7 linked regions of the Nothobranchius furzeri genome follow. The protein of the gene in region 7 interacts with the protein of the main gene of each other region in a biochemical or structural test. Links are inferred from orthologs where the notes say so. Each region holds a gene or a part of one and is shown on either strand. Other genes may lie near its edges.

Region 1 (4,242 bases), on a different chromosome or scaffold from region 7:
TGATGTCACTGGCGTGGGTGGGACTGCTTGGCGTACTGGATGGCATCGAGTGCAGCTCCAATCTCGAAGTTTTTAGCCTGAAGGAGCCGAGTCAACCAGCCGCCTTCATCTGTAAAACCCATCGAGAGCATTGACGCCAGCGACTCCACCAGGCGGGGGTCAGCCTCTGTGGGGGACAAAGGGGAGGGGCTTAATAGGGACAGGACTACCAAAAAAAAAAAAAAACTTGAACCGCAGAATCTGAACTCACCTTGAGGCAGGTGTGGATAAAGAGCTGCCTCCCGCAGACCTGTGGGTCCCTCCTCGGTCCCTGACAGAGGAGCTGGACCTGGACCTGGACTTGGACTTGGGCCTGAGCCCTGGCCCTCCAGCGACTGAAGCTCACCTGTAGATGGATCAACCTCTTTAGAGCTGAGATGAGTCCACTCATCATCTTCATCTCGGCCCACCTGCAGATTTGTGTATTTGGTCAGTAATTGTCATTAATTAGACTGATCTATTAGTTTTTGTCTGAGGAAGACTGACCTTTGGCCCCTGCTTTGCTCCACCTTCATTGCTGGCTCCACTTTCGCCAGCTCCCACATCCATCTGCACTTCACCCTGCTCTTCCTCACCTTGAGTAGGTGAAGTCACCTTCATCCTTTGCCCCTCATGCTCCACGTCGATGTCCACATCAATACCTGCACATGCACAGATAAAGTCCCTACTTCATCAGGATTCTGTTGTCAGGAAGTTTAATAGAAACGGTTAAATGTGATATTCTGATCTTTCTGAAGGGATGGTCAATAGGTCATATATCTACAGTACAGACACTGCCTGCAGGTGACATCACCGAAGGTGAAACAAAGTGCTCCTCTGAACAGAGGCTAACTAGTCAGCTTGGTAATGAAATAATACATCGTTTCTGGTGTTTAAAAACAACCCATAGTGACGCGTTAGCACGCTATATTAGCAGTTTTTAAAGCCCTACAATTTTACATGAGATTGTTTCTTTAGTTTATGCTGTTTGTTTTATTCTAATAACGTTTGAAATACTATGCTACTGCTACTGCCTGTGTGCCATTGGGTTTTCACTCTGCCCAAGTGGAGCAGCCAATTAGGAAAAGCAGGACATTGAGGTTTTTCTTCTGGCTAATCCTGGAAATTAGCTTCTAATGTCACAGATCCAGCTAGCCAAAAGTAATGCTCTGGTCAGAGGACTTCCTATTCCTAGAAACAGTAGTTTGGAATCTAAATTGACAGAACAGCACTTTAAAATGACTTTAAATGTCTGAATGACACTCGTGTGCGTATTAGGATGAGTTCCCTCTTGTTTATTGCACATTAAAAACATCTCCAGGTAAAACAACTCACCTAGTGGGCTCAGCATGGCAGCCACGCCCTCGCCAATGTTCTTCAAATAGTTCACGCTGACCTGAGAAGCTACAGAGGTCAGAGGTCAGTCTCTGTTATTGGACAATGGCTCTGAGTTGGACTCCTTTTGACTGATGACCAGTTTGTACATAAACACAGATCTGTTCACATCACCTACCAGAGGAGGTGCTGCAGTCAGATGCTGAGCTGGAGGGAATGGTTTGCTCCTGCTTCTGGTTCTGGTCCTGGTTTTGGGTCTGTGCCTGGGCCATGTGCTGGTTCCACGTGCAGTGTTTCATCTTTTTCATCCATTTTCCTCGAGGAAACCACTGCTAAATAAAATTTTAAGAAAACCACCGATTTATCACATTTTAATCAGGAAATGTGACTTGTTCTGACACCTGCCAGTGGTGACCTGAGCTCTGACACCTGTCATCCAGGTTACTCACCTGTAGAGGGTGCCACACGGGCAGCAGAGGGTGCTCAGTGTGGGTCCCTCGAGCCTGGCAGGTGGAGCAAAGGTCGTAGTCTGGACACACTGAACACTTGAAGCGCGTTCCGACCACAGGGCCCTCACAGCCGTCACAGGTGACGTTGGGATGGACGGCAGGGGGCGGGCCCGGGTGAGGAGGTGGGGCATGAGGAGGTCCATGTTGATGAGGGAGCCCGAAAGCGAAAGGGGGGAATGCATGAAGAGGGAAGTCCCGGCGGTGCTCCTTCTTTTCTGCAAGAGTTCAACAAAACTTTAGTCAGATGGAACCTTACAAAGAAATAACAGGAAGACGACTTGTTTACCTTTAATGAAGAGGCGAAAGGTGGCGTCCTTGACAAAACCCAGTCCCATCATCAGCTCATCATCAGAGGAGAAGGCCACCAGGTCTCCATCTTCATCTAAAACACCATAACTCAAACATCAAGTCCAAGCACAGATCAGGTGGCACCAAACATCATTCATCAGAATATTAAAAACAATCCAGAACCAGAAAGACACGCAGCAGAAATCCAGTCAGTGTTTGGGTTGAAACAGAACCAGCTCTGATATAAGCGCCTCACCCTTGTAGAATAGGTTGAAGTTGCTCAGGTTGGAGAAAGCTGCCGCCACCTTCCTGCTCAGGTACTCGAAGCTGCAAGAGACGTCCTGGTCCACCGCAAACCTGCGGATCTCCTTCACCTGCTCGTCCTTTCCCAGCAAGTAGGCTTTCACCGTCACCGACATTACGAACTCAATCGAACCAAACTCCGAACAGAGACAGAAAAACAACCAAACGGAGAACCAAACTCTAGAACTTTGTGACGCAGCGGTAAATTTCAGCCTCTTTTATGTTTACTTCCGCATTCTATGTCATCGTCTTAAGATGACGTAAAGACGCACACAGCCTCCCATTGGTCCTCATTGAGCTCCGCTAATGAGGGACCATTGCCGTCTAGAAACATCTTTTTACACAGCACGGTGAGGGACTTTCCAACTAGTCACGTGAGCAGGTGTTAGTTGGGAAAGCCGCTTAGTCATTGTGACGTGGCACATTGTTTTATTTGTTAGAAAAGTGATTGATTTGTAGTTTATTAATAAAAAAATATGAAAATCCTAAATGAGTGGATCCAGCTGAGAACGCAACTGCAGGTCTAGAAATCCAGCAGAGAAACATAAACATGCATGTTTGTGTGTGTTTTAACTGAGCTTTGGTTTCAACCCCGACATGCTTTTTCTGTTAATTATCTGCTGAAGATAACCCCAGTCCGTAATTACTACAACAGAGTCAAGAACCCATACACACTTTTACAGAATTAATCTACAGCTAAAACGAAAGCAATCTGCAAATCCTGCTCTAATCAGTCCAGATTCAAGCTGATTTTCTGCTGTCCAGTTGTAAACAATTAGATGGGATATGAAATGTAAAACATAAGTCAAACTCTCAGTATTCCTCAAACACCTGAGTCATCCTTGCATCACTCTTTTCAAATGTCTCATGAGCTTCTGTTTTGATCAAATGTTTGTTTGCATCTGTGATGTCACCCAGCCGCTGCAGCCAATCAGCAGCAGCATGAGTCATATGACTTGCTGACTCAGAATCACAAGATGAAGCTGAAAACCACCCAAACCTCTCATTTAAAGCCTTTAAAGGTCAATGTAGTGAAAGTCACTGCATTTGAAACTGTTATTCAGTTTTGTCAGCTTGACTAAAAACAATTTATAGAATCAAAGATTTTTAATGGAAGAATTAGCTAAATATTTTCTGACTACATTGTATAAAGAGCTCTGATTACATAATCAGGTTTCAACAACCTTAAGGTAAAATTAATTTAACATTTAATTTCAATTATTTAATTGTAATCATTTGTTTTTATTGCTTTGGTCCAATGATAAACATGCATGCTTGGATTTCTTTTTGTTCTTAAAACAAAGTTAAACAATCCCAGAATGCATCAGTGCTCTCAGCATCCTGGAGCTAGAGTGAGGTTCTTCCAGTGAGACTGATTAATAGCCAAATGAATCCACTTTTAAACCAGGTAACTGAATGAATTACAGACATTGAGACAAATATTTATTTAAACCAGTTAACACCTTGCACCAGAATCAGGTCCATAAGGTTTTACATCTCCAATCAGTCAAAGTTGCTTCTATAATAGAAACCAGCTGATTGGATCAATCCAAAGCAATTCTCTATCCTGGGCAGCACCAGGCTATTGATTGATCGATCCTTTATTTTGGTTGTCATGTTTACAGAGAAGATCTTCAAACAACTAAGATACATCACGATAACGTCATGAATTACAACCAAAAAAGGAATAGGCAGAAGCAATGCTTATTTTGGCCTATTCTCCACCTACAGCAGGTATGTATGTGCTGAATAAAAGAGAGAAAAAAACATTAATATTTTACACATCCTT
Region 2 (4,295 bases), on a different chromosome or scaffold from region 7:
TTGACGGGTCGAGGAAACTGTAAGATCCTGCAGAGAAGATGAGAAGTCAGAAGGCTGCAGCTGCTGCTGGTCTGAAGGAACAGCATTAGAGAACAAATGTTTACCTTTTCTCTCCTTTAAATTCAAACTTCACTCTCACATCATTCTGTGGAGACAAAGTCACGTTGAGCATAAAAACCATTGGGACGACGACGTGGGTTTTATTTTGAGATCTCAGAAACATGTTTGCTTTGTTGAGCTTTTCTCACACTTCATGTCCAAATCACATTTCTGTGGTTACCTGGTTCTTGGGCGAGGAGGCTTTGGGTTTGCCTAGGTCCGACAGGAAGGTAGCAGGGCGGCTGGAGCGTTGCAGTTCGGCCAAGTCCTGCATGATGGAGTTCAGGGCCTCCTGCTCATCTGCAAAGATAAATTAATCGGGTTTACAGATTATCCACAGCAACAAGTGACACTTTGATCATTATGCTAACAATCGCAAACCTAAAAGATAAAAACAAATGAGCCCCAGCAGGAGCTCATGACTCGTCGCTTAAACAGATGTCATAATAGAAAAAGAGACATTGTTTACAGAAAAAAAAGATTATTTAAGTTTTTAGACAAAAGACTCAGCTGGCTCTCTGCCAGCTGTAACATGATCACAAAGCTCGCACACATACCCATCATCATGGCACGGCAATTGACCCAGGAGGCCAGGATAGAAGACTCTCCCATCAAAGGGATTCCTTTCTCCTGAAACAGCAACACAACTGGATAAATAATAGCATTCAGTTTAATGAAGACGCAAGTTAGAAAGCATGGAGCTGCTGACTGATCCGCAGATCTGTAATTGGTGAGCCAGAGGCAGAAAGAAAATGCATAAATGGGGATTATTGGAAATGTTTGCTCTGATGTCTTTTAAGGGAACAAAATCTTGTGGAAAATTGTTTTGTTCCTATGATCCAATTCAGGAATGACACTGAAACTGGCTCATCGTATGCGTCACTTGGTTTGATTTTTGCAGAACCAAAAATCCTTATTTCTCAACAAATATGGGGGTGAAGTTACTTTTTTGGTTGCCTTTAAATGCAGTGAGCATTCTTGTCTTCTTTTATTTCATCCTGTTATGAGCTCATTTTTTTACACCCTAACTCACCTGTAGAGTCCAAGAAGCTCTACTGTTGCTTATTTTGGAGGTGTGTTTGCAAAAAGCAACAAGAAACATAACATGCTTTATGGAAACTATTCTTAACATGGACTTCAGAGGTTTTCTGGCTTTTTGGCCGTTTTTATTACCAAACAGCTTATAATACTACATCTGCAGCTACCTGCTTTATAATAAATACAGTTTCATTGTGTTCAAAGATGTATGGAAACCTCTGTAGGTTCACCTGAACACAAGTTTCACAGACAATTATAGTGTTGGCAATTCTTCACTAAAGTGGCATCATTAACACAGAAGCTGGCTGGTGTTGACGCAAAAACAAAACACAAACCTGTAATTTTAAATCAGTTAAAACGTTTAAGGAACGGCAGATGCACTAATATTCCAACTAGAAATACACACAGGTATTATTTCTCAGAATATTAAGAATATTGCCTTAATTACTTTATGGTATTGTTGTTATTAAAGCCTTTAGAAGATAACTGTATTTGTAACCCATAAGCCCCGGAAGTTAACAACTGTTGCTAGCTAATTTTACATTACGACTCATGCCAGGATAACATTTCAAAATAGCTGCTATCTTGACATGAAATTCTTGAAAAATACAATTTGTTGTTTAAGCAGCAGGTTTTGGGGGATGAAATGGTAATGACTCCACTGTTAGCTGTCAGGCAAGGGAAGTTATCAGGCTAATCAAACGCTAAAGCTAACTCCTAGCCGCTGGGCTAACCGAGCTAACCAGCACTCGCCCGCGCTGCACAATTATTGGAACAGTTCATGAACGAAGTGAGATTGTTTTTGTCTTCAGCCTAATCCCACCTGATGAATAATTTAATCTCGGTTTATTTCCTCAACCACAGGACCGGTGACAGGAGCCCCGGGCCCTGTGGAGAGCCGCTGGAGGAAGCAGAAGTTTGTCAGTCCGCTGTCAACTTCACTCGAGTCTTGCTGGGCCACGACGACGAGGCCCGGTAGCTGTTGGTTCAGCCGCTTCGTCTCTCCAGGAGGGGAAGTGACAGGGTGATATTTATTATGTTCGGCACGCTACACTCCAGTGCGACAGTTCAAAGGCTAATTCAATCCACAGATCTCATTTTGTTGTGCTACACAGCCTGCTTAACTGTACCTTGCTCGATGCTGACCCCTAGTTTCATCGAGCTAACATGTACGATTAAAAACACACCGGAAATAATTACGCCGTGTTTATAAAATAAAAGCAGCACGTCTCGTGGTGGAAGGCAAAGTGGCGTTCTGTGTTTTATTTTGAAACAAATGTTAACCGAAAGTACTTTTATTTTGAGAAGCTTAACTAGTGTTAACCCCTAACCTCACTGAGGGTCCAACAGAAACATCATACAAACATGACAAGTAAAAATATTTATTAGATTTTTGAGCATTTGTTTGGAGCTTCATTTCAGTTCCAATTTATTAAATAAGTTGTAAACACAGTGTTTTATAGTATAAATTAAGCTTCCGTTTAGACAAGTCACATTTCCTCATAATTTAAATTCAAAGCAAACGATACTCAAGGTCAATTCAGGTCATTCAAATGCCATCCAGTGTGACTTGCTGTTCCAAACACACTAGGCCCACTCATTATCTGATTCATTCCAGTGACTTTTTTTCCGGAACTGCGCTGCTCTGGGTGGCTGCATGTTGGAGTAGCTCTGTTGACTATATGTAAGTTTAGCCTTTTCTTTAGCATTTTTTCTTCTAGTTTCTCAAGAAAAACTATTTTTTGGACACTTTACTTTTCTGTTTCTGGTGCTGTGAAGCTTGGAGGATTTTTACTGCTATTTTTTTTAGCTTTTTTCACTTTTTGAGCATTTGTTATGATGTGTAACCATGGCAACAAGCTGGTTTACAATCGGGAGCAGCTGATTAACATTGGAAAGGCTGAAATAATACCTCAACTGAAGCCACAAATCCCAAATGAGCTAAAATGCAAGAAGCGTGGGTGCAGAGCGTGAGCAAAACGGAGACACAGAGAGAGAGGAAATTCAAACCATCTCTTCCATCGATCATAATGGGCAATGTGAGATCACTGGTCAACAAGATGGAGGAACTCCAAGCCCTTTCAAGGACTCAGCCAGAGTTTCGGCTGTTCGGGAACCGCTGGAGGAGATAATGCAAAGAAGGATTCTCCAGAGAATCAAGAAAATTATGGACAACCCTGAGCGTTCTCTTCACAAGACTGTCCGACAACGGAAGAGTGTCTTCAGTCAGAGGCTTCTTCAGTTTCGCTGCAACACTGACCGCTACTGGAGATCCGTCCTGCCAACAGCCATTGTAATATACAACAAATCTTTGATGGCTTGATTATTATTATTATTCTGATCTACTACAGCAATCAATTTCCCTCTGGGATTAATAAAGTATTTTTGAATTGAATTGAATTGATTACATGCTGGTCCAAGTTCATTCAGTAGTGATTAACTTGACCCCTATTAATTCCAATTTAGTTCAGTTATTTGCAGTCAAATCCAGTCATGTTATGATAAAATTTAAATTGTTTCATTAAACACTATGTGTAAATGTGCATTCAACGCATAATTTTACCACTTTATATTCCCAAACAGCAAAATTCTGCTGCAAGAAGAACAATTCGTTTGATTATCTTTGGTGTGTTCTTGCTGTGTTGAAATTCTAATTCCATCTTTTAGTTTTTTTAAACACAGAAAGGTTTTATTTACCTGGGTTTTGCAGCCGCAAACGAAACGTTGCAGGTAAATAAAATCTTTCTGTGTTTTAAAAAGAACTAAAAGATGGAATTAATTTGATCACATTTTAAACACACCGCTCACTTCAGATCAATAACACTAAAACTGTGTCTTGCGATGGGATCAACATATTAACGTGCGCCTCATTGTATGATTTTTCAGATAAATGCAGTAATAATGATTATTAGACTTTTTTATTCATTGCAATTTGTTTGAATTTACATGAGCAAATGATTATAATTACTTTTAGACAATGATTGCTACTTCTGATAGTTTGAACATTTTATCTAAATATTATTTAAAAATATTTGTTGTTCACTGCTTTCATTAGAAGCGCAACAACAGCATAAAAATATAAAAAATACTATTGTTTCTCTAATCTGAAGGGAGTTTTATTGTGAAAAAACGTCTTTTCGTCACTTCCGGCTAATGTC
Region 3 (4,090 bases), on a different chromosome or scaffold from region 7:
TCTTGATGCACTGGTGGTTTCCTCCAACAGTTCTATTGGAGCACTACAAACACATGATTCCTCTTTACACCCTCTTCGGGCAGACACCAGTGAACCAACAGAACAGCACTGAGCCAGCGAAGTGAGAACACTGATTTTCTTTTGTTTTTGTTTTCATTTCGTTTTGGCAGGATGTCTGTTTGTTCCCTCTACCAATAGCTACTTCCAGTTATACTTTGAGTCATCTTATATTTTAGGCAGAGTATTTTACCCTCTGGTTAAATGATTTTCCACATGAACTTGTGTTTTCATACTGAAATTGTATGCTGTGGGTTTGTCAAGTGGCAACTTGAATCCTCTTGAGACGAATGTTGTAAACTTGCAAGGATTCACTTCATGGCCAGTAAATACAACAAATCCGTAAGGTGAGAAGTAGATGAAAAAAAAATTCAAGTTGAGCTTCTGCAGTTTTATTAGATATTGGTTCAAGACATATCCAGCGGTTTACTATTCATTATTACAAGTTGCTCTTCTAGATTTGTTCAGAAAAAATACAGCTGTCTACATCCTTTTACGTGTTTTTGTCATGGTTTCTTTTTCTTTTCAAATAGCAAGAGTTTGAAAACTACATTTATCATTTCTAGCAGTCTTAACCAATGCGTGGATTTGTACTACATGTCTGAGTCTGTAAATATTTTAGAGTCACATTTATTTATTTTTACCATTATAGATATTTCAAAAGTAATATTTACTAGGTACATTTTCATTTAACAACAGTGGACATTTCTACATGAAAATAAACATTGTAACTGTCCCGAACAAGCATGTTTGAGATTCTTATCAAGCCAGAATGTGAGGTCTTTTTGCATTTGTTTGTTGAAACTAAAGATTAGGAACTACATTGACAGTAATGTCTTATTTCATCAAATAAGTTCTTAGTTTGGTCTTAGTGTTGTCCATTTCTCCATATATCCTGTAGTTGTCCATCTTTCACGGGGAGTAAGGAGGTGGGAGTGTTCCTGAGGAGATTTTTTCATAGGCAGGAGGAGCATTTGGTACCTAAAAAAATAGAAAGTTTAAATTAAATGATTACTGGAGTTCTATAACATTACTGATCATATATTCTAGTTAAGGTGATTTTTGTAATTGCATTATGACATACACACATAGTAAAGTAGTAGTAGTGAATATAAGTTGATTTGATCCTCTGGCTCTCTTGCCTTCCCTGGGAATGAGACATTCTTAATACCTTTTGCCTAGCCTGGTGACAAAATAATCTCCCTCAGGCATCTGCTGCATTGCGTTCGCTTCACATGCTCTATGCTGCTCACAACTCTGAACAAGGGCTCTCTGTCCTGAATGTTAGCAAAATGTTCACGTGTTTTTGTATTCAAGCTGCTAAAGAATAATATGTACAAAAGACTGCTCAGCAGTTGTAAATAAGATCAGCTGTTTTATTTATTTAAGTTGACTCACCGCGGATCGGAAACTCCCAAAGTCAGTGAGAGGCATTTTGTTATCTGCTGAAGGTCCGGCTTCAGAGTACTGTCCTCCTGTGAAACTTGGTGATCCAGATCTTGGGTTCTGCAGGTAAAAAACAAAACAAAGAAAAAGACTAATTTACTGTAGAACAGTGGCGTGTCCAGATCTTTTAAAATGGGGTGGCCCAGGTGAGGCACAACTTTGTGCATGGGTGGCACCAATGGTTATGCTTTTATTTTTTGCTTTAGCCCCAAGCTTTATGTGGACAGTGAAAAGCCTATTTAAAGGCAAATTAGTGTGGTGGCACCTGGGGTGGCCAATCAGAATCTAAGGGTGGCATGTGCTACCCCAGGCCACTCCCTGGACACGCCCCTGCTGTAGAAGAGGGACAAGAAAGAAAGAACAAACTACAACTAAATAAATGAATTTATAAATAGCAGGTTTTACTTTTTAAATATGTAGGCTGATAAGATGGAATAACAAAAAAAAATAGTTAAAGTGAAGATAATTGTCTCACCCTGATTATTCTGTAGCCACTCCTCTTCTTGAGATACCAGCAGCCCAGAATGAAGAGGCCTGCAAGGATCACCACCAGGAGAGCAATGCCCACCGCTCTGGAATGAATCGACAGCACGTTTTTAGTTGTTTTTTAGTGCAGCATTTGTTTTTACTGCCTGTAAACCAGAGTGCAAACGTCTAAGATACCACCAGGAGTGTGTGTGAAACCTGCCGGTGTAAAACGGCATAAATAGAAAATAACACACTCCTCAGCTCGAACGTTTCCTCTTCTACCACTCGCAAAATAGATGTTGAAGTCTCCACGAGGCATCCCGTCTGTACGATTGCACAACATCAAGCTGAAAGTCAACAGGAGAGTACTTCAGGGGGCAACATAATACTTTTTTTTAGCTTAATAGAAGTAAAAATAATGTTTTGACATTTGCTGTCATTACAACCAAACAAAAGTATCCAGTTAAAGAGTAATTCTGACCTCCTATTGGATAAAACTACACTGGAGTCACCAAGTCACTGTGAAAGTAGTCCTATAAAGTGAAATGTCAGTTAGGTCAATTTTTAAAGATAGCAGCCTTTGGTAAGTCCCTCCAGTTTAGAACAGACACCTGTTGCAGCCTGCTTAGTTTCTAGTTAAGTTTAAATATTTTCTTTAAGGACCAGTCGTATCCCTGATTCTTTTCCAGAGAAAACGTAGGACAAAAGGTACATTTTCTTACCAAATTATTCTTGGATGTCAGCGAAAACCTGTCCTGATTTGAAAGCCTGCTCTCAACACTAGGTCTGAGAAGCTCTGAGTCATTTCACTTGGTGTTCGAGAAAGCAGTGGGGGGCAGAACCCCCTCATGACCGTCACGGGTTCCAGACTCATGGTTAAATCCATTGAAATGAAGTAATTACCGTGAAGCCCTGCAGCCCAAAAAGCTTCATTTCTGCTCACTCGTGAAACTCCAAACATCAGCTGCTGGCCTTTCATGTGAAGAAGTGAGTGTGTATGTGTGGACAATTAATCACTCTCAAATATATGTTGATAGCCAGTTTGATTGGCTTATACTCTGAAAACATTCTATTGTGCAGAAAATGTCTTAAATGTTCAAATTATTTCCACAATAGTGAAATCAGTTGGGTGGAAATGAGAAAAACCATTTTATTTTTGTCCACAAGAGGGAGACCACAACATGATTTTAAACCTAGAGAGAATGCTGTACCTCAAGCTCAATTTATTTTATTTATTATTGTTTTTGTATTGATGGTTCCGATTGTGGGTTGTAAGTGTATTCATAGCTCTTAGCCAGTGCTGGATTATAATGGCAGAGGGCCCCGGGCACAACGTTTTTATGTCTTGTGATCTACCAGCACATATGATCACAATCAACCATGGAAAGTTGAAAACAACCCTTTATTTTCTTCCTGAAACTGGGCCCCTGGGCCTGAGTTTATCTTAACCACTGGATAATCTGGCCTTCCACGGGCCCCTAGTAGGCAAGGGCCCCTGGGCCTGTGCACAGAATATCCATTGCATAATCCGGCCTTGCATGCTAGTGGGCTTGAGGCCCTGGGCTCTGCACATATTACCCATTGGACAATCCAGCTTTACATAGACTCCTAGTTCCCATTATACCCACTAGATAACCCAGCCTTGCATGGGCTGCTATTAGGCATGAGACCCTGAGCATGAACCTAGTACCACTGGATAATTCAACCTTGCATTGGCTCCTAGAATGGGCCCCTCTGCCTGTGCCCATATTACCCACTGAATAATCCGGCCTTGCACAGACCTTTAGAAGGTCTGGGCCCAAAATGGATAATCCAGTTTTGTATGGGAACATATGGGTGGGACGCTAGGTCTGTACCCCATAATACCATTGGATAATCTGGTCTTCTGTGGGCCCGTGTGGGCTCCTGGGCCTGTACCCATATTACCCACTGGATAATCTTGTTTTGCACGGGCCCCTAGTAGAAGTGGGCCCCTGGGTCTGTGCCCAAATTAGCCACTGGATGATCCAGCCTTTCATAGGCCAATAGTTACCGTAACAGCCATTCAATAATCTGGCCTTGCTCTTAACAAAATATTTTTTAGCAGTCAAACACTTGGTTGCCTCAGAGTATTTGTTTG
Region 4 (3,975 bases), on a different chromosome or scaffold from region 7:
TACTGTCATCCAGAATGTTTACTTTGGTCTTAAACTGCATCCAGCTGTAAAAATCATTGTCTTATTGAGCTTCTTCTGCAGCGTGAACGTTTCCTGCTGAACTCTGGTGTTGACCTGAAACCTGAAGATGGATGACCCTTCTGACCCCCCGACTCATCACGGGCTATGTTGGGTAACCGCTTTCTTCAGCACTCACTATTATTAACTAGTCACTTCGCCACCAGGTCAGCATTTAAAAACTTTGACCCCAAAGATGTTTATCTACATACAAACAATAAACAGCGTCAAGCCGCAGCTCCAAATCAAACATCAGAGTAACGAGTTTTATCTGAAACAGGAAAGTTTAATCAGCGGGTTGAAATAAAAGCTGCAGCAGGTCTCAGCGTGATGCCCTTGAGTTTCTAACTCCTCACACTTTAACAAAATACACAGTAACAATGCAAAAACAGCTTGGGGAGGGGTGGGGGGTGGGGGTAGTAAATAAAATCCAAAACAGGATGTTCGTTTAGTTCCTTTATTACCATATTTGTGGAGATAACTTAATCAGGGAGCAAAACATAGACCAGACAATAAAGTACTAAAAATCTGAGATAGAAATAACCCACAACCACCCCACCCCTCCTCCTCCTCTACCCAGCGGGTCTATGTGGCGTATCTCTTTGTCCACTGTTTGGCTGTTCGGTCATGTTCGGCTCTGTTAGTCGTGTACTGGGTGGCGATGCTTCCTACCAGCGGATCGGCTGCATGGGGAAGAAAATAAATGTTTATTTTAAACAAATTTGTAAATCTGAAAAAGGTTTTAATGAAAAGGAATCTCACAAGACTAGAGATTTATTCTGTGGGAATGAGTGACATCTCCATCTCTGAAGCTATAATCTGTATATTTATACCAAAACTGGATTGTTTTTGATTCAAACACAGAAAGAGCTGAACCCACAGAAATCAGATGTAATGAAAACCATCCCTGATGCAGACGTAAACCAAAACACAACGAAAGGACAGGGCATCCAGCATTTTTGATGAACTATAGCTGGAAGCTTGAGATCCAGCCACCCAGCCTGTGGTCTCACCTGGGTTACAGTCTGTGAGCAAGGAGCAGATGGACAGCAGCACCTTGGAGATGGTGAGGGCGGGGCTCCAGTTGTCCTTCAGGATGTCCAGACAGATCACCCCCTGACTGTTGATGTTGCAGTGATAGATCCTCGTACGGAACGTCACCTGCAGACACAAGCAGGTTGGAAAATTATTTTCAGATCTACTCGCATGCTTTTTTATAAAATCGCCAGGAAGCCTCAAATATGAGCGTTTGATGATATTTTCCTCTCATAACTGATTTAACACAATAAGTCAAACTTTAAAAATAAAGAATAGTGGTTGTTAAACTTGAATGCAGCAGGAATTAAAGGTGGAGCAGAGCTGAAACACTGGAGATTAAAGCCCCCCTAGTGGCTGAACCCAGGTACTGGAGAGACTTTCAGTTTTAAAGCTAAAAAGCTCTCAAGTCTTTAAATCCTTCAGAAATGGGATAAAGAACTCCAGAGTCACAGACCACCTCAGACACAAACAATAGTCTTGTCCGAGAAGAAATGATCCCTAAAAAAGTAAAGTTACATAAATGCTCCAGATTCCTTTGGGTAACTATTAGAAAAGGTCCTGAAACTGTTTGACTGAGGGGTCAGAGGTTGTTAGGAGGCACTCACAAATAATTCATCATCCTTAAATTAAAAAGGCCACCAGTCCCAGTTCTAATGCTTAAAATAAGCCTCCAGGCTTGTATGTTTAAAACACGCACACCAGAACAAAAAACCTGTCATTGTGTTAAATATGACCAGAGGCTGCTTAGACCTCTTTATCAGTGCGTGATGCAGAATCAGCTGTTTGTCAACAGTCAGTGATTCTCTCACACACACACACACACACACACACACACACACACACACACACACACACACACACACACACACACACACACACACACACACACACACACACACACACACACACACACACACACACACACACACACACACACACACACACACACACACACACACACACACCCCATCACCTTCTGTACAACACAGACAACGCAGATGCATGAGTCCTGCTGCTGTGAGGGAAAAGTCCATAAAGGAGCCGTTATCTGGGGAAACTGGGCTGTAAATATGGACGTTACTGGGACGGTAGCGAGCTCCGCCTGCATATTTAATGAGCTGCTACCAGAAGAGTACTCGATCACTTCATCATGGTCCTTTGGTTGTGTGGTACAGTGGAAACCATTTAAACATCCATCTCTAGATTTCTGGGATCAGATGCGGTAAAGTCAGAAATGTACCTCTGCGTTGCCGTTAGCAACCATCAACAGAAACCTGAAGACAGACCAAGTTTGTTCAGTTTAAACTCATCTGGTCAAAAAAGAATCCGCTCCACTTGGCCACTACAAGCAGTGTCCAAAAGAACCTCTAATAAAAGATTTAAGTCCAGCTGTTTCCTGTTTGTGGGACTCTCCAACAATACATTGAACTAATCTACAGCAAATATTAGTGTCTACAGACAATCCCTTTATTTATAGTACATAAAACATTCTTTTCTAATGACTGTATCTAAATGCGCTACACTTTTCTATTTTATGACATAAAGTATGCTTCTGAAAACGTAAAAGTAGAGCCAATAAACACTGACGAGGTTATTAGTGCAAACATGATGACAGTGAAAGACGCACATCCCATCGGCAAAGCAGAGGAGCGAGCCGTGGCTGAAATAGCTGACTTCTGTCTGGAGCCTGTTATTAAAAGAGACAACAAGCTTTTCTGGTAGAAATATACAGCCAGCCTTCCCTAGATGTCTCGACTACAGTACCCGTAGGTCGGTGCCACCAGCTCATCGAAGCAGGTTTTCAGCAATCAGTCCACAACGTCCTATGTTGAAGCTGGTAAACATGCTGGTTTTTCAGGCAAAAGGTCTTTTTATAAGCTGCTGTTTAAAAGTTAATATTATGTGTGTTATGTTGTTATTGTTCTAGTAATAGTGTTTGTTATTCAGTTTCTGAACAGTGAAGGTCCAAACCAACAGCTCAGTAATTCCACTTGAGGTTTAATGTCGTAGTTTTTAAATTAGTCCCAATAACGCCGTACATCTTGGTCAAATAAGGCAGAAGCTTGACGGTATTAAAATTTGGATACCGCCCAAGCCTAATATAAAGATATAAAAACAATTCATGGAATAAGAGAAAAACAGACAAAAACAGCCACGGGTACAGCAACACCTGCTCGAAGTCAGCTGATGATTAAAATCTGCTCTTCCCTGGACACGATTGTGTGTAGGAGTTTTTAAAACCACCTGTTTCCTAATTAAAAATGCAGTTCTCACACACACCACTACCTTTGGGGGTTTAAAGGGGTAATCTGGCGTGAAGGCGATGTCCAGAAAGAAGACCCCTCCCTCGTACACGGAGCCGGGCGGTCCCAGGATGGTCGATCTCCACTCATAAATGTTGTCTCCTTTAGGGCCGGCGCTGCAGGCAAGAACATTACAGTCAGTCAGAAGAAACTGTTTCCCAGTTTTTCCCCTAGGAACCCATTGACCAATATCTTTGATTTAATTTATTGTTAAGAACATCAAGATGCATTACAGTGAACATTATAATAAAGTAAATTTTTCTAGTGCAGAGAGGAGACAACCCATAGAAGCACTGATTTGATCTCATTTCAGAGAATAGAACAGATCAGATGCACCTAATAAATAAAATTACTAAAATAAACTCAGGAATCTGTTTCTTTGCTTCACTGTTCTGGTGCTGAAAATATCACTAATGCAGATCAAAGGAGATACACAGATGAATGCACCTCTTATTTATTATTTGGAAATTAGTGGGTGTGGTTTACATCAATAAATTATTTTAAATCTGAAATTGATATGGATTGATCAGAAGTTGCTATGTGTGTTGTTTATTTGAAAACTATTTACAGAGCAGCC
Region 5 (4,228 bases), on a different chromosome or scaffold from region 7:
AAATTTAAGCTATAATTTCCAGCTATTGCCTGGAACCGGTGCTAACCAGGTCGTGAACGTGGGATTAGCCATCCATTTACCATTAATGTTGCACTTCCCCATGGTGCAAACTCCCACTAGCATGCTCATCTAAAAATAGCCCCCTTTCACAACCAACCGAATGTGTACGGTTCCGCTTACGCCAATATCATACACAAAAAATGCCAAACTAACTAGAAATTCATGAAAATTTTATAGAAATAAAAGAATCTTGTTTATTGGGTCTTTGGTAATTTAAGACCGTTGGAAACTATTTAAGGACTATTTGTCATTTTTAAGGATTTTTAAGGCCTTAAATTTGGAAAAGCTAATTTAAGACTTTTTATGGACCTGCAGATACCCTGTATATACTTTTAATAGTCTAAACCAAACTTACAAAGTTAAAATTGCAGCTTATGTGAACAAACAAACGGTCTCCTAACATTTACCTAATCCATATTTATCAGAGTAGTCGACCCATTTGCTGATCCAGAAGATGGGGATGCACGCAGGATCCTCGGCCTCCTCTGGAATTACACAAAAAAACCTTAGATGTAGATTAAAAAGTAGATAACCGCATCCGTTTTGACAAAATTCAGAGAAATAGCAACAGAGACTCCACAAGATCGGTAAAGACGAAGTGAGACACGTCCACTAACCTTGCTGGATGACGGCCCTTTCAGAGGGTTTGGTGGACATGATGCTGTTCAGCTGCTGCAGCATGTCTTTCAGGTAGGGCTCTGATGGTTCAGCCGCCCTGCACACACACACATTTAAAGGTTAACAACATCTACGCAAAGAAAAGATAAAAACTAACAGAACTAGAATTTTTATAAAATGTTTGTCATGTGATAAATAAATGAAAAACACCTTTGCATAGGCTCGTCTTTCACCTCCGTTTTCTCCGTACCAACTGGGAACAAAGAAAAAAAAAACGTTAACATCTAAAACAAGACTAATAAAATCTATGTGGATCAACTCAAACATCATTGCCTAGGAAAAATAAAAACAAAGATTTTCATTTTGATCGCCATTACCCTTGTTTAGAGCAGTCAGAGGACGCCGCTGGCTGAGCTCTGCAGTTGTGGAGGGGGCGATGGAGAACCGAGGGGGTACAGTAAGACACGTGGTGGGCAGACGGAGGGGGATGTAGCCGGACGTAAAGAACTCATCGGCCTGCACTTCAGCAACGCTTGGCCTCTGTGCAGGATCGGCGTGCAGCATCTTCTTGATCAGAGTCGCCGCAGTCGGGGTGATGTGCTGCAGGTTGTTCAGATCATACGACTCAATTATTAACTTAATTTTAGAAAGAAAACGGTGCATTCAGTTTGATTTTCATACCCAGGGGATGGTGTAGTTGTTCTTCTTGATGCGACTGTAGGTGTCCTTCAAACAGGAGGTCTCAAACGGGGGCTTGCCCACCAACAGAGTGTACCTGAAAGAACAGAAAAGGGAAGCTTTCACAGCTGGGACATTTCAAATGAGTTGCGTTTGTGGGCCTGTACTTACAATATGCACCCAAGTGACCAGACATCGACCTCATAGCTGTGGCCCTTTTTACAAAGCACTTCTGGTGCTATGTAGTTGGGCGTTCCACACAAAGTCTTCTTTCGTTCGCCTTCAAACTCGATCTTAGTCGCCAAGCCAAAGTCCCCTAAACAAGAGAGAACACGTAATAACGAGGCATGCTTTGATTCAAATCCTTCTCGACGTGATAAAAACAAAAGATCTAGTGCAAGCTACAAGTCCAAGCAAGTGGAGTACCAATTTTGACATCCATGTCGTCGTTGAGGAAGATATTGCCCAGTTTCAGGTCTCTGTGGATGACCTTGTTGTTGTGCAGGTACTGGACACCCTTCAGCAGCTGGGCCATGTAGTAGCGAGCTTCAGGCTCCGTCACAGCCTTGCGGCGTTTGTGCAGCTCCAGCAAGGACTGAAATAAAGCATTTTAAACAGTCAAGACAACAGCTCAAGAAAAGAGTGATCTTTTATGCGTTTAATTATAAGATTGAACATATGGTACACATGGGGCCACCAGAGTGGTACTGGACCAATAAACCCACATTTATAGGCTAGAAGTTTCTTTTTAAGATGTTTTTATCAAAGATCAAATAGTTGTGAGGTGTTAAATGAGTCTGGTACTGCTTGCTTCCCACTATTTAAACATGAGGACAACGGAAGATGTCGCAGTGTTTAACCGTCGGCTCTAAACCTCACTGAAAAGCTGGTTTCCTTCCATCGTACTCACCCTTCTCCTGCAGATCTCCAGGACCACAAACACATGGTCATCGTCTTCGAAAAACCCGTGGAAGCCGACGATGTTAGCGTGATCCAGACTCTTGTGTATGGCGATTTCCGAGGTCATCTTATCCCTTTGGTGCTGCTTTTGTAACAAATACTTAGCTACGATCTTGCCAGCAAACACCGTCTTCGTCTCTACATCTGTGATCTCGTAGCATTTGGCGAAACCACCCTTCCCGAGGAATCTCCCCCTCGTGTATCTTTTCATGGTTCGGGAATCAACGAGAATTTCTGGGATTTCTTTGAGAGGTGCCGATTTGGGATCCGCACGTTCCAACGGCTTTGCGGTACCAGCACTCATTTTGTATTAGAGCTGTCTTCTATGAACTTACAGGAATGTTTATTTTCTCTCCGCGCAGTAAACGTGGTGAAAACTACAAGAATCAAACTACTAACCCTAACACAACCGACGTTACTTTAGCCTAGCTAGCTAACTTTCTCCCATACACGTCTGAATTTAAATCTAATCACGAGTTTAGACTTCCTGAAAGCAAGCGATAATTAACATTAGGTTCTACAATTATAAAACGACATATATAGACATAAATATTAAAATAAATCTGCTTTCCTCATGGAATAATTCAGCAGACGTGTCCGACGGCGGCGTCTCCTGTGTTCTGTTCTGCCCTTCGAAAACAGTTTCTAGTATTAAGTTAAATGCTCGCTCTGTCGCCACGGCGCTTTCTCATTGGTCCACTTGATTTGAATTCTACGCAAAGCATTGTGGGAAGAAAAATGCAAAACTAGCCAATCAACGGGGTTGAAATAAAGTTCTAACATCGTGATTGGCTCAATGACGTCTTGCGTTTCCTTAACGCAAAGGCTGATGGTAAATGTAGACTAGTGTTAGATTTTACTTGATTTTATCGTCATCCAGAATCCAAGAAGGATTTAATTTTAACATGTAATCATATTATTAAACTGGATAAAACAGTGAAACGACAGTGTGGTCAAAATAAAAACGAAAATTGAAATAAAATAAGACGAAATGCACAAACGTTTTGAGTAATAAAAGCATGTTTGCAAAAACGATATCGGCACAGAACTATTAAATTGTGTATTTCTACAGTTAAAAGGTAAATTGAGAAAATCATGATGTTGCAAAAAATTACATTATTGATAGTTTAATTCACTTTCACACATATTCCACTGGGTGGCAGCAGTGGACAAATTCACAATTATTGTTCCTTGAGAAAGCACTTTTTTCAGACCAATCACACAATAAGCACTTCATATGACACAGCACGGATTCACAGCTGTAAATAATGAGATCATAAATAGATTATTGTCATGATGGTCTAGAATTAACTTTATAAATGTCTAATCATTAAATAGGTAACATCATCTTAAAATAAAAATTTCAGTCCACAACACTTTTTCCAGGGAATCATTTTCTGTTGAAGCCTCCCATAGTTATTAAAACAAAAAGTAAGAGTGCACAGCTAGTGGCTGATTTGACTTTGTTATAAGGGGGGATGTTTAATATAGGGACTATTTACTATGCACACACTCTTTAAAATATGTGTGTTTTACAGTTTTTTGTTTTTTCACTTTGTGTGTTTGTTTATAAATGGTCTTCAGGCTTTAGTCCGACTGGTGGGTGATGTGTGGAGATTGCTGGCTTATATGTGTCTGTTCCATTTTTGCACATTCATCCTTCTCTTCTGCTGCCATGTGTTTCCATGGCAACACACAGAAGATGCTGTAGGGAAAACTAAATGAAGTAAGCTTGTCTGTGCTTGTATGGGTCAACATTTACACACATTTAGTTTATTACACAGGATTTTGCAGAGAGCTGAACGTCCTCTGCAGAGGGGCACAAAGAAAGTAGAGTAGGTTACCTCCCTCCATGTTTCATCTTCTTTTCTTCCACAGTTTTGGCTCACTGGAATCTCAAGGGTGCTGTGAG
Region 6 (4,102 bases), on a different chromosome or scaffold from region 7:
ACTTGGACTGCCGGTACCCGTCAGCTGCCTCTGGAGTCCCACAGATCAAAAAGACCTGATAGGACTCTTTCTTCAGCTTGACAGCATCCCTAACCACCAGTGTCCACCAGCGGGTTTGGGGGTTGCCACCACAACAGGCACCGACGATCCTGCGACCACATCTCTGGTCGGCCGCCTCAACAATGGAGGCACGGAACAGGGTCCATTCAGACTCAATGTCCCCTGCCTCCCCCGGAACATTTTGAAAGTTCTGTCGGAGGTGGGAATTGAAGCTCCTTCTGACAGGAGACTCTGCCAGACATTCCCAACAGACCCTCGCGATACGTTTGGGCCTGCCTAGTCTGACCGGCATTCTCCCCCACCATCTGAGCCAACTCACCACCAGGTAGCGGTCAGTTGACAGCTCCGCCCCTCTCTTCACCCGAGTGTCCAAGACATGCAGCCGCAGTTCAGATGAAACAACAGCAAAGTCGATCATCGAGCTGCGGCCTAAGGTATCCTGGTGCCAAGAGCACATATGGACACCTTTATGTCTGAACATGATGTTCCTCATGGACAATCCATGACTGGCACAGAAATCCAATAACAAAACACCACTCGAATTCAGATCAGGGGGGCTGTTCCTCCCAACCACACCTCTCCAGGTCTCACTGTCATTGCTCACGTGAGCGTTAAAGTCCCCCAGCAGAACAAGAGAGTCACCGGAAGGAGCGCTTTCCAGCACCCCCTCCAAGGTCTCCAAAAAGGGTGGGTAGTCTGACTCTGAACTGTAGTTTGGTGCATAAGCACAGACCATAGTCAGAACCTGTCCCTCCACACGTAGACGGAGGGAGGCTACCCTCTCATTCACTGGGGTAAACCCCAACATACAGCTACCAAGATTTAGGGCAATTAGTATGCCCACCCCTGCTCGGCACCTCTCATCCACAAAAACATTCTTCCTATCTGGAATGGACATTTTGAATAGCCGGATCTAAACTCTCACTAGGTGATACATATACACTTCAGCCATTAATAGTAGAAATTCTACTATAAGTCCATGCCTCAGGTAAAATGGTAAACAGGTAAAATTAAAACATTTTTCCTATAGGGAAGTTGCTATTGTGGACTTCCTTAAATATAATTTCTACTGACAACACAACAGATCTGCTAGTATCTTTGTTGACAGTTTTGGATAATAAGAATACTATTACTAGGATAAATACTTTTTTTTTGAGGAATCACATGCTGCCAAATGCGGTTGATTATTAAATGTTAAAGTGGCTTGCCGTACTCCCAACTCTACGGCGTATAGCGTCATGACGTAATTTTAACGGCTATTGATATTGGTCTGTCGCTGGAGGTTTATTGTTTGGGGCTAGCAGGACTGCAGACAACGACAGGTATGAATATAATGTAACTGACTTTGTTGCTTCTTAAATTATATTCTATGTGAAATTGTTAAAATTAAAACTGACTTATTTCTTAGAGACTCAAATGATGCCGAGTCCAATAGTTAATTAACCAAAGCTAACTGCCAGATTAGCATGCTAACGTTAGTTCTAGTAACTTAAGTAGACAAGTGTTTTCTTTTTCTCCCTCGTCTGTTTTAAGGACAGCAGTTTGTAGCGAATTGACCAGACAGTTGACTGTTGTGAGTTCCTCACCATTAAGTAGTGTCCACTGACGTGAGACGGTGAGGTTTTAGCTATATGTGCTTGTTAGCTTGTTGTTGCTAATATTGAATGGAAGTCGTCAGTGTCCACTAGAACAAAGAAACAAACAAAGCAATACAGCTGTTGGGATTAAAATCCCCTCGTCGTCAGCACTTTTCTTGGTAAGTCCAATACCGGGAGCATTAAAATAACAGTAACAAAACAACGAGGAAGGCAATTCACCACCGTAACAGAGACTCACAAGCAACAGGAGAAAATCACTCTTAGTAATAATCACTGTTCGTTCGAAATATAGAAAAACTTCACCTAGATTTAGTGCGTGATATTAGCGAAGCATTGAACACAAACGTGGCATGGGTTTTATTCATAGGTTAAATTAAATTATATATTAGCAAGCGTGTTTTTATTAACACATTTTTAAGTATCTATTGTAACTAACTGAAGCAAATGTATACAGATTTTACTGTGATCATATTGAGAACATATAATTTATATTAACAAGATTACTAGATTTTACTTGAGAAAGGTGCAATAAGTAAGATTTTATAGGGAGCCTAAAGGCTGATTCATACTGACACTGCTCCAGCATGTCTGATCTGTTGGATCGCCATGATGAGACGCGTTGAAGACGTGTAGTTGAAGTAGTCACTCCCAGCATTCGGTGGTGCTTTAATGTTTTACATGCTTTTCATCGAGGCTACCCACAGTTTGGAAAGTTCCACAGTCGCCAAAAGTCCTTTGCTATGGCAGTCTACTGGCTTGTGGAGGGGCAGGTGAGAAATTCAGGCGGCAGTGCGGCCCACGACGCTTTGCAAACCTCGGTCACAATCCCCGAAACTGTGCTGGAACCCATTTTATAGCTCGCACCGACTGCCTGTTGGGGCGCACCAGAAGCGAAAACCCGCAGGGTAATGGCAAGTCTCTGTGCAGCATAAATTGGCATGGAATTTGTTCCCTGGTGCTGTAGAAGTGGTGCCAAACGACAAACCAGCTTATCGTATCGGGTGGCAGTCATGCGAAAGTATCTGAAATAGGGCTGCACCAAACGATTATTTGGATAATCGATTAATCGGATGGTGTCTCGACACGATTAATCGATTAATCGGATTACATGGGGAAATTTTTAAAAACTGCTAGGGAAACGTTATTTCTCTCCTTCCTTCACTTTATTTAACACAACATTATTAGAAAACAGTTCAATAGCAGAAAAACAACATGCCATCACCTAAATTGTCTTATAAGGTGTATAGACAGAGACCCTAAGCTACATCTATCTGTGACCTAAAATGCTTGGTCCAAGTTAAACAGCTTAAGGGCAATTCTCATCTGTTTTGTTTGATCTCATCTGTTGACATTTATTTTAAATGTAATTAAACATAGGCTGTGAATTAATCAAAATTGATCACTATTTCCAAAAATGACTGAAAAAATACCAAATAAAACAAAAGTAAATGAATGCCATCCTCCTTGCGATGATGCCTTGGGCAACTGCCATAAAGTCACATCAAGAAATGCTGCTGATCATTCCAATGATCCCAAATAGACTCACATTAGGCCACATGAAAGCAACTGAACCCAAAAATATATTAACCAGTATATAACTGCACTCTCACACAACACACCTGCAGCAACAGTTAGGACTCCTCCCTCCCTTTTAAAAGCATTTTTGCTTCTGAGGACATTGTGGTTGTAAAACCACATGCTAGTAGTCTGGCCCCGGTGTGATCAACCAGTTTCTGCGGGAATGTGACGGCGGAACCAGGGCCAGATTAACACTTTGTTGTACCCTGGGCAACAATATTCAAGGGCTCCATCATCACGACCCAAGGATCACCATAATGTGGTCACATACAGAATATTTTACTGTAATATGCAGTAAATATACTCAATACTTGAATTCCTGACAACACGTAACCCGCCCAGAGTAACCTTTGACCCACCTCGTGTGGACTGACCAATGAGGAGAGGGTCTTAACTTGAGGCCCTCTCTTCATTGGTCAGTCTGCATGAGACTGACTCTCAACTGACGTTCAGTCGTAGGCAGCGAAGCGTCTCTGTGCAGCGCAAAAGCCCGGGTGGACAGTTTGTTTAATGTAGGGTGATCATATTTCCATTTCCAAACAAGAGGACAGGGGATCTGTGCCTATGACGTCACACTATGGCAACGCCACACAAACCATGTTGGGACCCATTTTTTGTAAGAACTAAATTAATATCAGATTCTGCCAATAAAAGGGCTCTAAAACAATTCATATGTAAATATTTTGCATATTTAATGCAAAATCTAATTTTTCTGCTTTAGTGCTGCAACAAGGTTTTATTAATAATAAATTATTATACCTTTTGTTTTACTACAGCATCGGTAAGCTTCCTGTGCACAGATTATTAAGGATGCTTGTTTCAGCTGTGAGATTAGACGATAGGATCAATGAAAAAATAAGTTGTCC
Region 7 (3,989 bases):
CCTGCAAATAAATTTTCACAGGTGATGCCAATACCTATGCGACTTCAAGGGATGTGCTCCTGGCTGCAAAGCATTGCACCTTCGAATACAAGATTTTGTCTTGGCTTGTGAGTGTTTATGGATGTGTAGACAAATAAACTTGTTGATATGATATGTAGATACATATGTAGATACATAAACTTGTTTATATTCAGTACAAGTTACATTTTTTTTCTGCTTCCGTTAGTTGAAAAATATGAGAAAAACCCCTTGAGAAAATAATCGTGAATTCAATCACAATTGCAGTATTGAAGAAAACATCGCAATTAAGATTGTTTTCCAAAATCGTTCAGCCCTAGTAAAAGGATATGAAAACAAACCTTTGCAGATTTAAAAAGTCTTAAGTGGACCCTCTTTGACAACCTGCTAAACGCAGGAAGAGACTGACAGCTGATATTTCACAAACATTGCTTGGTGGGGGGACCCACAGGGATGGTAGCACGCCACCCGTTTACTTGGAAACGAGCACACACACACACACACACATGTACGCAGATAGCCGACATGACTGTGCACCACTCTAGTATCATGCTGTTAAATTTGAATCCACAGGTTTTGGGCAGTGCTACAGACCAGCAGACTATCCGGAGTCAGGGGGAATATTTCAGAGGCACCTTATTTATATCGGCATGGGGCACTGCGCTTCCCAACTCTATAAATAGCCATGGTAAATACTTAACCTGATCACTTATAGTGCTAACAGAATAATAAAAGTGGAAAACTCTACTGAAATTGTGTTTTCACACTGATGAATGCTGGTATTCACAAGATGGAGAACCTGTCTTTCTAATTTACACATTTCTTGGTATCCAATATGCAGATGGATTTACTGTAATGTAACTGAACACCTCTGAATGTTTGTCCACACACAGCTTGTTAAATACATGACTTAAAGTTAAAGGGCTTCTCAGTTACTAGAAGTCTTGTAACCAGTCTAATGCTAAAGTCAAAGCAAAAACAGTTTAAGACTTTAGGGTGACATTATTCCAGTGTACTGGAACTTAGAAATTTTCATTGATGAAAACAACCAATCAGTTAAAAGCTGCAAGTTTACAACAAACAATTAATCAAGCGGTGTTTATTTATACTACTCATTAGAAACTCTCGATATGTCTGAACATTGATGCAGGAGAGGCTGAACCAATGACGGAGTGGAATCTACTCAAACTTGTTTGACAACAGTGGCAGCAGGTCTAGAGTGCTGACAAAAGGCTACTAGGTGATCAATATAAAGCCTCTAAAGAGTTAGAAATGTCATACTCACCTTGTCATTTTGAACTGAACCCTTTACTGCATTACTTTCTTTGTGATTCTTAACATCTGTAACAGAGCTTCGCAACCTTCCGGGGTAGCATGGGGATAAATGAATGTGCACATGTGGGGAGCGAGGGCTGCAGAGCTCGGGGTTAGAAACGTGGCATGAAATTCCAGTGTTAGGGTAGGGCACCTCGAGGGAAAAGCTCCTCTGTATGGCACGATGCTTTTCACCAAGCCCGATTTGATCTTTTCCAGACAAACCGCTTTTATCGTTTTTCTCTGATGGCTTGGATGAAGAAAACAAACAAGCAGAGGTACTGCGATACAGTTTTCTGTGATTGATGTTTTCCCTTTGAGATAGGTGAACTTGGTGGTGAGCTTCGTTGGCTGCAACCATTTCCACAACTCCCTTGGTAGATACTGTTGGTTTCTGGTGGGCAAAATGCAGCAGCACGCTGCTAGAGTGAAGATTAGGTCTGTCTGAGGCTGACGGAAGCTCCATCAACGCGCTATTGCCTTCTGATTTGCATTTTGTTCCATCCTGTAGAGGAATATTAAAGTGGACCATGTGTTTCATGTCCCTAAGTTCAGATGAGCAGCTTCGTTTTGATGTTTGGTGTCCACTTGCTACAGTGGAGCTCGCCCCTACTTTCTCTTGGGAGAAATCACTGAAAGACGTCTGAAGATGTGACTGATTAGTACCCTTTGGCAGTGGGTAAGCAAACGGAGTCACAGCACATCCTGGGGAAGCAGGTGGAGTGCTACATGGGCTCTTCGGAATAATAATCAGTGAGGAGCATCGTCGCAGCGGGACCTTGGACTTGCGACAAAGCAGAGTCCTCTCCTGGATTGTCCTGTGCTTTTCTGGAAGCTCTGGCTCAAAGATGCTGCTGCTGCTACAGTACCCCGCATCGCTGGCCATGCTGCTGTTGCATGAACCTCCGTCAGAGCCGGTACCTGCTCCAACTTCACAAGCCCCTGGTTCTCCATCTTCTAAACTGCAATCCAGTTTTCCACCGAGTTTCCCACAGGGCTGCAGCGCAATTTGCAAAACGCTCTTCTTATTACACCCTCCAGCGTGAACCCTGGGTATGAACACTGAAGAGCACTGACTGCTGGCAACGTCTGGTGACAGAGGAGTCACCTTCAAGTGAACAGAGCTGTGCGCCAGATTCTCCGCTGGGCCATGAGCCGACAGACTGACTCCACTCTCTTCACCTTGGCTGCTGAGGCTTTCCGACAGGGGGTCCGTGTTGCTTCTCCTTGACGCAAAATGCAAACGGAGCTGATGTGACATTTGTTCAACTCACTAATCCCTGTAGGGCTGGCGAGACGTACATGATCAAACTTGCTGGTGGAAAAAAAAAACGAGAGCAAACGCAACAGCTCCATGCGCTGTGATCACAATCATTAGTAGCTGCGCATTGCCAAAATAGCTCTGGTGACAAGCTACATTCCTCTCCAGGCTGATCTCAGCTTTTAGTCAGAGCAGGCCAGTGGTTCTGTTTGGAGACATGACCCAAACACATGACCTTTCAAACCGAACCATTAGCCCCTTTAAAATTCCTCGGCCCAATAAAGAAGAACAAAGCTACTCTAAAGATAATTGGAAAACCTTTTCCTCAGCTTTGCATTCTAATAAAAGCCTAGCGTAACTCGACTGTGCCTCCAAAAAAAAAAACAGACAAATTAGCATTTTTCTTCTGAAAATAAAGAAAAACAAACAAAAGCATGACAGTCCAACGTGCTGCATTTTAGACTGAAGCTCTGGTAAAGTGTCACATCTGCGTTGGCCCATTCGCTCAGGACTCCTGCTGCTGCTATGCTACTAATGTTTCTGCTGCTCTGTGCCCCACAAATAGTTTTACCCATTGCTATTGAATTACAGGAAATCAAACGAGTGAATGTCAACAAAATTCTGCATCAAACCAAGGAGCAGGTTGCAAAAGCACATTTCAGACAGTAAATCACAGAGCTCATTAGGATAACACAAGAGCTCCTTTTAGTGTTTTAGCAGTGACTTTAAATATTTCCTGCAGGGAACAGGACAGCTGCTGCCTAATGAGAAAAACGTGAGGTTTTAAGAAAAAATAAATGTCATGAAACTGGTTATCTGATGCCTCATGTAACAGTCAATGCTGCTCTTATTACTTCTCCATAGATGTTGACAGTTTAATTTATTAACAGTGAGGCTGCCTGACCTATTTCAGGGCATTACTTTGCTTCCAAAGTATAATAATGGAAGTCACGGCCGGGATAAGGACATGACTCACTGCAGGACGCTGTGGAACTCCTAACCTATTTTTTAAACCAACAGAACCGTGTGACAGTAATGCAATGGCCATACAATATCAAATGCTTATATAGAATGACGTCATGCGGCAATAATACAGAGACACGTCCCTTAAGAACTCCATGAGTTTGGTATCAAAGTGAACAAAAACAAAGGCGGTATTTAATCAACTTTTCAGAGAACCAGTCTGCTGTGTAGTCACTACAAGCTGAGTCAGAGAGGTGTGGTTCGAGTAAAGACTGGAAAAATCAATCAGCAGGTGCAGCAGGTGGATGAACTAGTTTCTTAAGCTGTGTTTATTTACTTTTAGGTATTTAACCAACCTCTCAGTCACTGTGTAACAGTTACTGTTTGTATGCAGCATCTAATCTGGAATATGCTACATCGATGGTTTAGTTCT

The links.
Region 1: of the proteins of nedd4a (region 7) and sqstm1, one has a biochemical effect on the other in vitro, tested with the Homo sapiens proteins (2 studies listed by BioGRID). The link is inferred for Nothobranchius furzeri from reciprocal best matches to the Homo sapiens genes NEDD4 and SQSTM1.
Region 2: the proteins of nedd4a (region 7) and map3k2 form a complex in vitro, tested with the Homo sapiens proteins (2 studies listed by BioGRID and IntAct, with this or other methods). The link is inferred for Nothobranchius furzeri from reciprocal best matches to the Homo sapiens genes NEDD4 and MAP3K2.
Region 3: the proteins of nedd4a (region 7) and mlana form a complex in vitro, tested with the Homo sapiens proteins (2 studies listed by BioGRID and IntAct, with this or other methods). The link is inferred for Nothobranchius furzeri from reciprocal best matches to the Homo sapiens genes NEDD4 and MLANA.
Region 4: the proteins of nedd4a (region 7) and ubiquitin-conjugating enzyme E2 E1 form a complex in vitro, tested with the Homo sapiens proteins (7 studies listed by BioGRID, with this or other methods). The link is inferred for Nothobranchius furzeri from reciprocal best matches to the Homo sapiens genes NEDD4 and UBE2E1.
Region 5: the proteins of nedd4a (region 7) and plk1 form a complex in vitro, tested with the Homo sapiens proteins (2 studies listed by BioGRID, with this or other methods). The link is inferred for Nothobranchius furzeri from reciprocal best matches to the Homo sapiens genes NEDD4 and PLK1.
Region 6: the proteins of nedd4a (region 7) and yod1 form a complex in vitro, tested with the Homo sapiens proteins (2 studies listed by BioGRID, with this or other methods). The link is inferred for Nothobranchius furzeri from reciprocal best matches to the Homo sapiens genes NEDD4 and YOD1.

What each region holds. Positions count from the first base shown.
Region 1 is NC_091741.1:64,353,292-64,357,533, reverse strand, and holds the start of sqstm1 (sequestosome-1), read right to left. Parts: upstream 2,801-4,242; 5' UTR 2,570-2,800; coding exon 2,407-2,569; intron 2,245-2,406; coding exon 2,149-2,244; intron 2,078-2,148; coding exon 1,803-2,077; intron 1,686-1,802; coding exon 1,532-1,685; intron 1,423-1,531; coding exon 1,354-1,422; intron 681-1,353; coding exon 526-680; intron 450-525; coding exon 251-449; intron 167-250; coding exon 6-166; 3' UTR 1-5. UniProt on the Homo sapiens protein: Molecular adapter required for selective macroautophagy (aggrephagy) by acting as a bridge between polyubiquitinated proteins and autophagosomes.
Region 2 is NC_091743.1:83,211,177-83,215,471, forward strand, and holds the start of map3k2 (mitogen-activated protein kinase kinase kinase 2), read right to left. Parts: upstream 2,801-4,295; 5' UTR 1,961-2,800; intron 730-1,960; 5' UTR 712-729; coding exon 657-711; intron 400-656; coding exon 281-399; intron 146-280; coding exon 105-145; intron 28-104; coding exon 1-27. UniProt on the Homo sapiens protein: Component of a protein kinase signal transduction cascade. Regulates the JNK and ERK5 pathways by phosphorylating and activating MAP2K5 and MAP2K7. Plays a role in caveolae kiss-and-run dynamics.
Region 3 is NC_091746.1:53,502,367-53,506,456, reverse strand, and holds mlana (melanoma antigen recognized by T-cells 1), read right to left. Parts: upstream 2,801-4,090; 5' UTR 2,694-2,800; intron 2,505-2,693; exon of another isoform or gene 2,453-2,504; intron 2,319-2,452; 5' UTR 2,315-2,318; coding exon 2,226-2,314; intron 2,076-2,225; coding exon 1,979-2,075; intron 1,564-1,978; coding exon 1,456-1,563; intron 1,039-1,455; coding exon 970-1,038; 3' UTR 434-969; downstream 1-433. Other genes in the region: uncharacterized bromodomain-containing protein 10, read left to right, coding at 1-112. UniProt on the Homo sapiens protein: Involved in melanosome biogenesis by ensuring the stability of GPR143. Plays a vital role in the expression, stability, trafficking, and processing of melanocyte protein PMEL, which is critical to the formation of stage II melanosomes.
Region 4 is NC_091745.1:63,686,867-63,690,841, reverse strand, and holds the end of ubiquitin-conjugating enzyme E2 E1, read right to left. Parts: intron 3,515-3,975; coding exon 3,382-3,514; intron 1,219-3,381; coding exon 1,071-1,218; intron 741-1,070; coding exon 643-740; 3' UTR 501-642; downstream 1-500. UniProt on the Homo sapiens protein: Accepts ubiquitin from the E1 complex and catalyzes its covalent attachment to other proteins. Catalyzes the covalent attachment of ISG15 to other proteins. Mediates the selective degradation of short-lived and abnormal proteins.
Region 5 is NC_091744.1:8,886,495-8,890,722, reverse strand, and holds the start of plk1 (serine/threonine-protein kinase PLK1), read right to left. Parts: upstream 2,801-4,228; 5' UTR 2,621-2,800; coding exon 2,267-2,620; intron 1,952-2,266; coding exon 1,783-1,951; intron 1,673-1,782; coding exon 1,528-1,672; intron 1,454-1,527; coding exon 1,360-1,453; intron 1,279-1,359; coding exon 1,056-1,278; intron 932-1,055; coding exon 889-931; intron 776-888; coding exon 678-775; intron 546-677; coding exon 468-545; intron 1-467. UniProt on the Homo sapiens protein: Serine/threonine-protein kinase that performs several important functions throughout M phase of the cell cycle, including the regulation of centrosome maturation and spindle assembly, the removal of cohesins from chromosome arms, the inactivation of anaphase-promoting complex/cyclosome (APC/C) inhibitors, and the regulation of mitotic exit and cytokinesis.
Region 6 is NC_091743.1:71,972,352-71,976,453, forward strand, and holds the start of yod1 (ubiquitin thioesterase OTU1), read left to right. Parts: upstream 1-1,302; 5' UTR 1,303-1,382; intron 1,383-3,625; exon of another isoform or gene 3,626-4,102. UniProt on the Homo sapiens protein: Hydrolase that can remove conjugated ubiquitin from proteins and participates in endoplasmic reticulum-associated degradation (ERAD) for misfolded lumenal proteins.
Region 7 is NC_091749.1:60,024,149-60,028,137, reverse strand, and holds the start of nedd4a (E3 ubiquitin-protein ligase NEDD4), read right to left. Parts: upstream 2,801-3,989; 5' UTR 2,594-2,800; coding exon 1,304-2,593; intron 1-1,303. UniProt on the Homo sapiens protein: E3 ubiquitin-protein ligase which accepts ubiquitin from an E2 ubiquitin-conjugating enzyme in the form of a thioester and then directly transfers the ubiquitin to targeted substrates. Specifically ubiquitinates 'Lys-63' in target proteins.